Linked DNA regions of Oryzias latipes. Each later gene encodes a partner of the first gene's protein in a complex. Links are inferred from orthologs where the notes say so. Each region holds a gene or a part of one and is shown on either strand. Other genes may lie near its edges. The genes, in order: thoc6, thoc7 and sarnp.

Region 1 (2,803 bases):
TGGATTTCTTCCAGATCATCAAGTTAATGAAATCTGTGTCCAAACCAACAAGTAAACTAGAATGAATGTCAAATCCATTCACATGTTAGTTTCCTAAAGTTCACCACTGTTGTTTTTCCACATCCAAAGAATCCAAAGGGAACATTCTTAGAACATTCTAGACACTGGATGGTCACATGACTTTATTCACAGTCTGTCCACACATTGGACTGGAATGATGGACTATTCTGTGTTGATGACATCACACGTGTGTCGTCTGCTGTGATTGGTCGGTTTTATCTTCTAGTAACATAAACCTGCAGTACCTCAATCGATGGTATCGTCCGATATCGATTATTGATTTATCCGTTTTTAAATGATTTTTTAACGGTCAACTTGCTTCACACTACTGCCTACCAAGGTAGCGGTCTCCCTGTGCCGGTCCCCAGCCCAGGTAGAACACGGGGTTGTGACCTGAAGGACTCTGCCTGACCACCTGTGCTGATCTGACTGCTGATTGGCTGTGGCGACCAAGCTGGCAGGTGAACAACAGAACAACCTCAGAACCTCTGACTGAGGAAGACTCCTGACAGAGGAAGACTCCTGACTGAGGAAGACTCCTGACAGAGGAAGACTCCTGACAGAGGAAGACTCCTGACAGAGGAAGACTCCTGACAGAGGAAGACTCCTGACAGAGGAAGACTCCTCGGTGAGGAAGACTCCTGACTGAGGAAGACTCCTCGGTGAGGAAGACTCCTGACTGAGGAAGACTCCTGACTGAGGAAGACTCCTGACTGAGGAAGACTCCTCGGTGAGGAAGACTCCTGACTGAGGAAGACTCCTGACAGAGGAAGACTCCTGACAGAGGAAGACTCCTGACAGAGGAAGACTCCTGACTGAGGAAGACTCCTGACTGAGGAAGACTCCTGACTGAGGAAGACTCCTGACAGAGGAAGACTCCTGACAGAGGAAGACTCCTGACAGAGGAAGACTCCTGACAGAGGAAGACTCCTCGGTGAGGAAGACTCCTGACTGAGGAAGACTCCTGACTGAGGAAGACTCCTCGGTGAGGAAGACTCCTGACTGAGGAAGACTCCTGACTGAGGAAGACTCCTGACTGAGGAAGACTCCTGACAGAGGGAGACTCCTCGGTGAGGAAGGGCTGGGAAACGTTCCCAGTGACCCGAACGCCTCCAATCTTCTTACCATCCAGTCAGAGTCGGTGGTCAGGCAGCTGATCCATTTTCCGTGCTGGGGCCGTGCGCACACCTGAAAGACGTGCACGAGGATCAGAACCCGTCCGTCAGCCTGATGGATCCGAGCCCCCCCCCCTCCCCCCGCCAACCCCCCAGACCTCACCTCGTACTTGTGGACCTCCAGGCAGTGAACGCACCGCCCGGTCCTGCTGTCTGCAGAGCGTCATCATCATCATCATCATCGTCACTAAAGGATGAAGCTCAAAGACGGCAGCTGTCACTCACCCCACATCCTCACCACTCCGTCCTCTCCACCCGACAGAAGCTCCGCCTCCCGCTCTCTCATGCACAAGCAGTGCACGTAATCCGTGTGTCCGTGAAGGACCGCCTACAGAAACACAGGTGAGGAAGATGGAGCTCTGCCACGAACACACAGCACTCGAACGCACCTTAAAGACGCCATGTTCCAGGTCCAAGACGTGAATGTTGTTGTCTCCGCCCCCCAGCGCCAGACTGTTGTCCTGATGACACACACGCGGAATGCTTGGTGTGAGTGTGTACATCAGCATGTGCACGTGCGTGTAGTGGCGTGCGTCTCACCCGTGGGTTGAACGCCATGGCGTTGATCTCTGGGATCTCCAGACTGGAGCTGCAGGAACAACACGGGTGGTTGTGCAGGTGTGCGTCTGTTTGTGTGCGTCTGTGTGTGTGCGTCTGTGTGTGTGCGTCTGTGTGTGTGCGTCTGTGTGTACGCGTCTGTGTGTACGCGTCTGTGTGTGCGTGTGTGTGTGCGTCTGTGTGTGTGTGCGTCTGTGTGTGTGTGCGTCTGTGTGTGCGTCTGTGTGTGCGTCTCTTTGTGTGCGTCTGTGTGTGTGCGTCTGTGTGTGTGCGTCTGTGTGTGTGCGTCTGTGTGTGTGCGTCTGTGTGTGTGCGTCTGTGTGTGCGTCTGTGTGTGTGCGTCTGTGTGTGTGCGTCTGTGTGTGTGCGTCTGTGTGTGTGCGTCTGTGTGTGCGTCTGTGTGTGTGCGTCTGTGTGTGTGCGTCTGTGTGTGTGCGTCTGTGTGTGTGCGTCTGTGTGTGCGTCTGTGTGTGCGTCTGTGTGTGCGTCTGTGTGTGTGCGTCTGTGTGTGTGCGTCTGTGTGTGCGCGTCTGTGCGCGTCTGTGTGTGCGTGTGTGTGTGCGTCTGTGTGTGCGTCTGTGTGTGTGCGTCTCTTTGTGCGCGTCTGTGTGTGCGCGTCTGTGGGTGCGCGTCTGTGTGTGCGCGTCTGTGTGTGCGTCTGTGTGTGTGCCTCTGTGTGTGTGTGTCTGTGTTTGCGTCGGTGTGTGCGTCTGTGTATGTGCGTCTGGGTGTGCGTCTGGGTGTGCGTCTGTGTGTGTGCGTCTGTGTGTGTGCGTCTGTGTGTGCGTCTGTGTGTGCGTCTATGTGTGCGTCTATGTGTGCGTCTGTGTGTGTGCGTCTGTGTGTGTGCGTCTGCGTGTGTGCGTCTGTGTGTGCGTCTGTGTATGTGCGTCTGTGTATGTGCGTCTGTGTATGTGCGTCTGTGTGTGCGTCTGTGTGTGCGTCTGTGTGTGTGCGTCTGTGTGTGTGCGTCTGTGTGTGTGCGTCTGTGTGTGCGCGTCTGTGTGTGC
Region 2 (3,803 bases), on another chromosome or scaffold:
GAAGTTTAATCTGAATTTTCGTTGATTTTAGCTAAATGTATGCATAGCTGCTATGGCTTCTATCTTTTATTCCACATTATCCTGCAGATTGCTGGCATGCGTCTAGCTGATCAAATCCCCCTGGTGATCCGTTATGAAATGCTGCAACAATCAGCCAGCCAGCTCCAGAGAGAGATGCTGCAGATGATTCAGGACAAGGAGAACTTGGATTTCCTGCTGAAGGAGGACTTTGACATCGGCAGTAAGAGGGCTACTTTGCAGAATCGCCTTAAGCGCCTTTTGCAGGCCCGTGCATACCTAGTAGAGTTCTAAAAACTTTGAAGGATCTGTTTTCTGCATCTCCAAATTACATGTTAGTGTAAATGTTCAGTTGTTGTGTTTGGGTAGTCCAGTAGAATCTGCTGTTTCTAACAGGAATGATTATCTTACAGCAGCAAAAGTCATTATATGGGCACACAGATGTTTTCCTTTTATATATTGTTATAATCACCTCGAGTGTGGAGCATGTTTTTATGTTCATTGTTTTATTTGGGCATATATATAGAGGGAAATTATTATCAGTCTGTGAACTTTGATTTTTTTATTTTTATTTGAAACAATAAAAGGGAAAACCAGACAGAGCGACAGAATCAAGAGAATTTTATTCAAAAATACATACGAAAAGCATTCTGTCTCACAAACCCAAACTCATTTAAGAACATTTCATTCTGTTCCACTGTTATTCACTGTTCCCTGCAGGGCTCTCTTGACTGGCATCTTCAATATCTGACTTCTCATCATCTAAAAGAAGACAAATTTTGAGTTTAACTTTTTGAAACAATTTTAAAATCAGTTGGCATTAAGAATAAAGTGCTCACTCTCAAGTGTCTGTTGTAGCTCCTGAATGGTGGTAAGAAGAACGTGGAACTGCTTCTTCCTCAACTCCAACTATGGTGGAACAGTAAATTTGATAGAAAAAAACAACAACTTTAAAATAAATCAAATCATCAGCGAAATACACAGAAGCTGCATAAATTCTGTTTGGATATACCTTTGCATCCACATTCTCTTTGATGTGGGACAGTTGTTGGAGCTCTTTGTCAAGCGCCTCTAGCTGCCTGAAAGAAAATAAATAAATAAAAATGAAGCAAAACTGTTGTACGCTGTTTACAAGCAATCGAAAATCTGAATTAACGGAGCCACTTACTTGAGTGTTTCATGCCTATCTGGATGCTGCTGGATTACCTTGGCTAATGCATCATATTCTGGAAAAAATACAAACATATTTATAATACTCCAAGGATGTTATTGAAAAAGGACAATAAATAAAATATGCAATCCATATCAAAATATCCTTGCCTTGGCGATTTTTTCGTATCCTCTTTGCCCTCTGAATATCTTTTTTGCATTCTGCAATCTTCTCATGTGCAGATGTGATGTTTTGTTCTGCAATGGGGGGAGGGTGGGGGGGGGGGTATATAGATGAAATCTAATATTGTAAACAGAAATGCTTCCAGACGAGAGCAATAAAACCTCACCTATATTTGAATAGATCTTCTCATAGTTTTCCATTTCTCTAAGATTCATGTCATAAACCATCAACGTCTTTCCCATGGAAAACTCACACTGAGCCAGAGTGCCCAACATCCGCTGGTACTGTGTGAATCTACACGCAAACACAAGACCACAAGGAATTAAAGTGAGATTTTTTGTTGCATATTTAACAAGGAAGACACCATTCTACTCTTCGGGTATATAAAAACACATCATGGAAATGTATAGAAACAGCCTTTTGAAATGCATGGTCAGAGTTGAAACATTGTGCTGTGTGTCACACTCTGCTTGCCATAGATTGTAGAGAAGACAGTTACTCTTCTCCTTGGGTAAGTATAACTGCATGCAACTGAGACCCGTTAACCTTCTATGGAGTTTGATAAACTAGCTTGGAATTGCCTGTACACACAACGTAAGAACTAACTAATGTGACTTTTCTTTCGCAAGAAGAGTTGTTCGTAAATGCTAAATCACATTAAAATCTGGAAAGTAAATCTTCTGATGCGTCAGCTCAGACTCAGATTCATTCAGCACTGACCCTTCCTCCGGAGTCCCGGGCGAGTTGCACCATTTAGTGAAGCTTTTAAGCAGCAGGTTGATCCGGCGGTCATCTCCGGCTCCGTCGCCATCAATAAGAAGACGTTTCCGAATGACTTCATCTTTAACAGAAACGAAAGAGACAAGATAAACTATAGGCTAGATTGCAACCTGCTAATCTGAGCTAGCACTGCAGGGCAATAAATTAGCTGCACAGTTCTCCCAACTGATTGCGTAAACACTGCTACATTCTAGAAATAAGCTATTGTATACAATAACTTAACACATAAACACTTTATTTATTTTTAATAAAACTTTATATTAAACGAAGTAACCACCAAATTACCATCTGTTACGGCCCCCATGTTTGCAATGAGCAATACTATTTCCGGTAGAGCAAGATTCTTTTTCCAGGTTAAAATCAGCGGTTTCATTTTCTACTGCCCCCTATTGGTGGACATTCAATGTGGCAATTTTTTTCCCACATTTTTGTGCTTTTTAGACTCAACAGCAAAATTGAACTTTTATTATATTGCAGAATATTATTGGACTAAAAACCAATGACAGTTTAGAATACAATTGATTTTGTTTTATTTAACATTTTGCTTTTAAAAATGTCAGCTTACATTGTAGCATTACACATTGAATTTTAAATTCTAAAATGCATTTTTTAGATTGAATGCTTAAATTGCAAGCTGAATTATCAATCGAGAATGGCACATTACATATTTTGTTTTACCATTAAACCATTCATTTTTACCATGTAGCATTTAGATATTAAAATAATTGAATTATGAAAGTTTTATCATTTTCTTTCTATTAAAATATTAACTTCCTTTACTTTTGACAGCAGCATATATAGGTTCCTTTCAAACGAAATAAACCTCATGTCAAATTAAATCCTCCAACAGACTCACTTGAATAAAACATGTAAGAAAGTCAGGTCAAACATAGACTTTTCTATCAGTCAGACTTTGCTGCATATTCGTTCTTTTCTACTTTTATAGTCATATATTAACATGACAACATTGGAGCAGAATCCAAATAAAAGAAAGTTTAATAAATAAATTAAAAAAAAAAAAAAACAACCCCAAAACATTATTAGTAACTCAAATCGTTAGCGTTTTTTTTTCAAAACCAAAGAGCCACAATGGAATCATAAAGGAGCTGCATGTAACTCCGGAGCCTCAGGTTGCAGACCTCTGTTCTATAAGAACCTTTAGCTACTAAGTGGCTATTGAGGACAAAGATTTCTATCTAGCTTTAATTTCACCATTTATAATAATTCATAAATAGTAATGTTACTGGTACGGTTATAGGTACAATACCTGCTTCAACTATAGATTTAAACAGGTTTTCATTTGGCCAACATATTTTCTTGGTCACCACTTCCTCGTTTTTTTTCTGACAGATCAATTCAGGTCTGATTTCATGTTTGTTCCTACACCTTAGAAAATTACAATGAAACTTGTTTGAAACTTAATGTGCTCTATTTCTCACCAGAACACCAGCCGTGTGGGCAAATAGAGTTTTGTTATTTAACAAAGGTTCACGCGTATATTAGATTTACAGGAAAACAGTACAAACTTTCAGCAGTTTGCCAATTAGAAATCAGAGGTTAACATATTCATGCCTAGATTTAACCAAACATTTTAAGTGGGAGTGTGTTATGGTTTTGAAAATACAAGCAAAGCACCTTTTTTAACAATCTCAAAAAGGATTTGGATACAGTC
Region 3 (4,241 bases), on another chromosome or scaffold:
ACTAAACATTAACGTGCAGCAGCAGCTTTGTGTTTCTGTGTCATTAGAACAATCGCTCACACATTCTTGCTGAAACAATGGAAGGAATGCAACCATAATGAGGATTATGGAAGCACTTGTGACTCCCTAAATTCATCCGGCTTTGTCCTTCATGCCCACAACTTGAAAGTCAGTCTATTGGAACTTTTTTTGTCTGTGTATCGTATGCCGAGCTGCAGCTTGGGTTAAACCTCTTTTTGAACAATGTCAGCATTCACAGCAAATCCAGTTTGAACACGTTTCATCTGTTTTGTGTTCACCCTGACCCCGCCTCGTGTCTCAGTCCATCCACGCCTGAGACCCGCTGGTGTTGGGTTCTTTCAGCCGGTGGCGTGTGTCAGCTGACCCTCTTTAAGAGCCAAGGTCAATGCTGTCAGTTTTTGTTCAGTATTGTTGTACTGTGATTGAATTTTTTTTTCTCTCACCACGAGAACTGCAACATAAATATAAAAAGGAACAAAATCTGTTTTACCTCTGTTGTGTGTAGTACTAAAACAGAAAAACTGCTTAAACTAGAATTTTATTTTTATTTTTTTTTGGTTAAACTCTCATTAATTGTTCAAACATTTCATACAAGCACCTGCATTCCTCTGTAAACCTCTCAGACTTGTAGATGGTTTTGATTCCTCAGTCCAGCCTGAATTTATTTTTTACAAACATGGCCTGGTCAGGTGAGTTAATAGTTTTGAAACCAATGTGTTAAACAATGAAGGTGACATTTTAGGCCTATCTGACATTTTAGATCTGTGAAGATCCACACCTGATGATTCATGGAAAATTAGGAAAAATAGTCTTTATTTATTTGCCACATGGATGTAGCAAATAATTTTTTCATCAGACAGTAATATAATTGTGTTTTATAGATGTGGTTGAAAAAAATACATGTTTTAGAAAGTTCCAGCATGATGTCAACTGATTTAAATGTAGCTGTTACTCAAATACATGAATGTGGATCCACTGCATAAACTGCTTCCATTATTCCTCCAGGTAAAGAAAATAAAAGAAGAAAATTAACTTCTAAAAAACATCCACAATCTATATGGCAAAGATAAGATAAAATGAACTGAGAACAAAGAAAACAGTGAGGAATGTCTACGAAAAAAGTATAAATAAGGATAAAAAATGTTAGTAAACACTTTTTATCTGAGGCTAAATTGAATAAGTATTATAAAATCGCATTTTAATCATGATTTTATATAATAAAAAGTTTGTTAAGGTCTTAACACGTCTTTTACATTTATTTTTACAAAATTTTGCGGCGATTTATTAATTTTTATTTTGAACAAAATCTCTACAAGTTTGTTTAAAATGCAGCAGGACCATCTGCACGGCGTTAATATGCCCGACAGGAGGCGCTGTGATCAATGACGTCGTTGTGATCAATGACGTCGTTGTTCAGGAGCACAGAGGAAGAAAAGCTCGACTCTGATTGGACGGCAGGAATACATCAACAGAGAAAGATGGCTGAAGTGGTGGAGCTCCAAAAGCTGAAGGTTGGTAGAATTAAAAATACGTTTTTCCTGACATTGGGTGAATTTCTTTGTGGTGGAAATGATGAAGTCAGTATTTACACCGGAACCAGCTAGCGGGGTGGCGGCGGGCTGCAGAAAATCGTGTTCTCCGGGTCTTAAGTCTACGAACCGGCATGTGTTCTGAGCTAATCCGGGCTAAAAGAACGACGAAGGAAACGCGGAGGGAAATGAACGGATAATCTGAGAAACTATCTTTCAACCCACCAGTAATAAAGTTCGACGTAAAACAATGAAAACAATCAGTTACAGCAAAAATCGAGAGGTGGGTAAATGGACCGAACCACAACCGCTGTTTGGAAAGACAAAATAAAAATGAGAGATTTTTTTTACTTAACTTAACTCAATCCTGCATTTCTGCTTTTCAAAGCAAATGTGATGAACGACCATTTTGAAAATAAGTAATCGTAACATACATATATATATATATATATATATATATATATATATGTATATATATAAAAGGAAAAATAAAATTCTAACAATGCACAAATTATTGTTATCAATTTAAACTGATTTAGTTCAACAGATGATGAAATCAGTTTATGTAGGTGCTTTCAGATCGTGGTAAATTTATCTTTAATAAAAAAGAACCGTCCTTTCGTTTACAGAGTTTTATGGAATAGTAAGAAGGTTACTGATGTGGAGATGGAAAAATATATATATATTTTTTTATAGTTTCAATTACACCAATATTTCCAAGCAGGTGTTGGCTGATCTATGTTTTACTTTTTTTGAATCACGTCAGTAAATTTTAAAACCAATTGTTAATTTGAGGTTTCATCTTCCCTTTCAGCTTGCTGAGCTGAGGCAAGAGTGTGACGCCCGCGGTCTGGAAACCAAGGGAAACAAGGGCGAGCTGATCGCTCGGCTCCAAGCCTACCTGGAGGAGCACGGTGAGAACCGGGTGACCCGTTTTTGCACATCAACCAAATGTTGTTTCCTGCCAGCTCATATTGTCTGTGTTGTCATCCAAACCACAGAGGACGATGTGGATGTTGATGAAGTTCTGGCAGAGGACACACCGGTAATGTCTTTTATTCTATCCGTTCTCTTCTAGTTTAGCAATAAAACAGAAACGTTCAATCAATGTTTGTTGAGAAAATCAATATTGATTTGTCAAATACACAAATCTATTCATTTTATTGATTACATTTCTTCAGGCAGACACAGCTCACACACAGTTTTTAGTTGAATAAACTCCAAATTTTATCATGAAATATTGTTCAGGTTTGTTTCTTCTGCTTGTTTGTTTCACAAAAGCAGTATGTCTGTTTTTTTTTCTTTTCTTTTTAGGAATTCACTAAAGTTGAGAGCTCCAACAGCATAAAGGAGGACAACCACACTGAAACAATCGCAATTCCAGAGTAAGTTAACTGTACAACAAATGTGCTTTTTCCTCTTTACCTTTCAGATTCCTCTTTGCGTGTGAATAAAGTTATCGTTTATCATTAACTATTATTGTAAGATAGTAACTTTTCAGGGAATTACAGTCGATGTTGCTCAGATGAGAACATCAAAAAAGAGTTCAGCTGGATCTGCTGGACTGTCATGTTCTTAGTTTTTTTTTTAATTTTTGAGAAAATAAATTCTACCTTCAGGTCTGAAGACAAGAAAGTGGTGAAAATCTCTCCTCCGTTGTCTGCTGGTGAAGTAAGTATGAGTCGTTTTCATTCACAAATAAACCTTGGTTTAGATTTTAGATCACGTCTGAGCTCTGAAATCTAATTTTAGAAGAGAAAAGCTTCAGAAAAACACTAGTTGACCTCAGACTTCACCTTTGTGCTCGTGTTTGCTCCTTTGGTTTGGTGTTTTTAGATTAAGTTTTGCTGAAATCTCACTTTGGGTAGATGCTAAAGCCAAACTGTTTAATACAAAAACATCTATTTTTCTGAAAAATAAAGCAAATCTTTCCTAAAAAGTGGAAAAACGAATCTGTAACTTAAATTTAACCAAATAAGAGCACAACCTAGTTATTTAAACTTAAATATTTTGCTTTTTTAAAGGACTCCATCCATTCATATTATTCATCATACTTGATGAATAATATGCTCTTACTCTGATAAGGACTGGATTATGGTGACTTTGCAAAAAAATAAATAACAATAGTGGTAGGATAACATCAGTGGCGGACCGTGCATTACACACCTGGGCCTTCAGTAGTGCAACGTCTGAATCACTCAACGCCTCATTAACCATATTATGATGCAGAAACTAGCTTTGCATTGCAGATTGAAAATTCCTGCAGCCACAATCAGTGCCTCTAAATACAGAAAACAGTAAACAAATCTTGTTATGCAACTACAGCCAGCACAAAACATTACCGCTACCATAACCACATCAATTAGGAATTTATTTATGATATTTAGATGTTCACTCATCAGAAGATGAGATTATTTGATGACAAAATCCACCCTCCTCTCTTTCCTCAAACAGTTCCATCATCCTGTCATGTAGATTATTGCTCTTCAGTTCCGTCAAGAAGTCATTTTCTGCTCGATCAAGGCCAGTGCTGAGAGCCCAGTCTGTCCATTTGTGTTGCTGCGTAGGTTTGAATTCACTTTAGATCCGAAAATGTCCGCTGGTCAGACGCAGTGAACACGGGGATGGTTGGTGCCAAACGCACAAATCTGTATGGCTGTTCATGCTCTCACTTAGATTTTTATTGGTTAC

The links.
Region 2: the proteins of thoc6 (region 1) and thoc7 are in contact, whole or in part, in a cryo-EM structure (PDB 7APK), measured with the Homo sapiens proteins. The link is inferred for Oryzias latipes from reciprocal best matches to the Homo sapiens genes THOC6 and THOC7. Residues at the interface, in NP_001334633.1 of Homo sapiens: Asp229, Trp232, His245, Thr252, Gln268, Asp269, Gln284, Leu285, Ser286; in NP_079351.2 of Homo sapiens: Lys110, Arg113, Lys114, Gln117, Glu118, Ala121, Leu122, Val125.
Region 3: thoc6 (region 1) and sarnp share a complex: the UniProt entries of both Homo sapiens proteins name them as parts of the transcription/export (TREX) complex. The link is inferred for Oryzias latipes from reciprocal best matches to the Homo sapiens genes THOC6 and SARNP.

The regions. Positions count from the first base shown.
Region 1 is NC_019866.2:286,786-289,588, forward strand, and holds part of thoc6 (THO complex subunit 6 homolog), read right to left. Parts: intron 1,825-2,803; coding exon 1,776-1,824; intron 1,697-1,775; coding exon 1,625-1,696; intron 1,564-1,624; coding exon 1,461-1,563; intron 1,389-1,460; coding exon 1,339-1,388; intron 1,249-1,338; coding exon 1,186-1,248; intron 1-1,185. UniProt on the Homo sapiens protein: Component of the THO subcomplex of the TREX complex which is thought to couple mRNA transcription, processing and nuclear export, and which specifically associates with spliced mRNA and not with unspliced pre-mRNA.
Region 2 is NC_019863.2:16,703,284-16,707,086, reverse strand, and holds thoc7 (THO complex subunit 7 homolog), read right to left. Parts: upstream 2,525-3,803; 5' UTR 2,505-2,524; coding exon 2,417-2,504; intron 2,193-2,416; coding exon 2,072-2,192; intron 1,646-2,071; coding exon 1,518-1,645; intron 1,426-1,517; coding exon 1,339-1,425; intron 1,245-1,338; coding exon 1,187-1,244; intron 1,098-1,186; coding exon 1,031-1,097; intron 928-1,030; coding exon 858-927; exon of another isoform or gene 781-857; coding exon 719-780; 3' UTR 623-718; downstream 1-622. Other genes in the region: interferon-induced GTP-binding protein Mx, read left to right, coding at 88-312. UniProt on the Homo sapiens protein: Component of the THO subcomplex of the TREX complex which is thought to couple mRNA transcription, processing and nuclear export, and which specifically associates with spliced mRNA and not with unspliced pre-mRNA.
Region 3 is NC_019865.2:25,904,762-25,909,002, forward strand, and holds the start of sarnp (SAP domain-containing ribonucleoprotein), read left to right. Parts: upstream 1-1,405; 5' UTR 1,406-1,421; coding exon 1,422-1,532; intron 1,533-2,364; coding exon 2,365-2,464; intron 2,465-2,551; coding exon 2,552-2,595; intron 2,596-2,864; coding exon 2,865-2,935; intron 2,936-3,169; coding exon 3,170-3,221; intron 3,222-4,241. UniProt on the Homo sapiens protein: Binds both single-stranded and double-stranded DNA with higher affinity for the single-stranded form. Specifically binds to scaffold/matrix attachment region DNA. Also binds single-stranded RNA. Enhances RNA unwinding activity of DDX39A.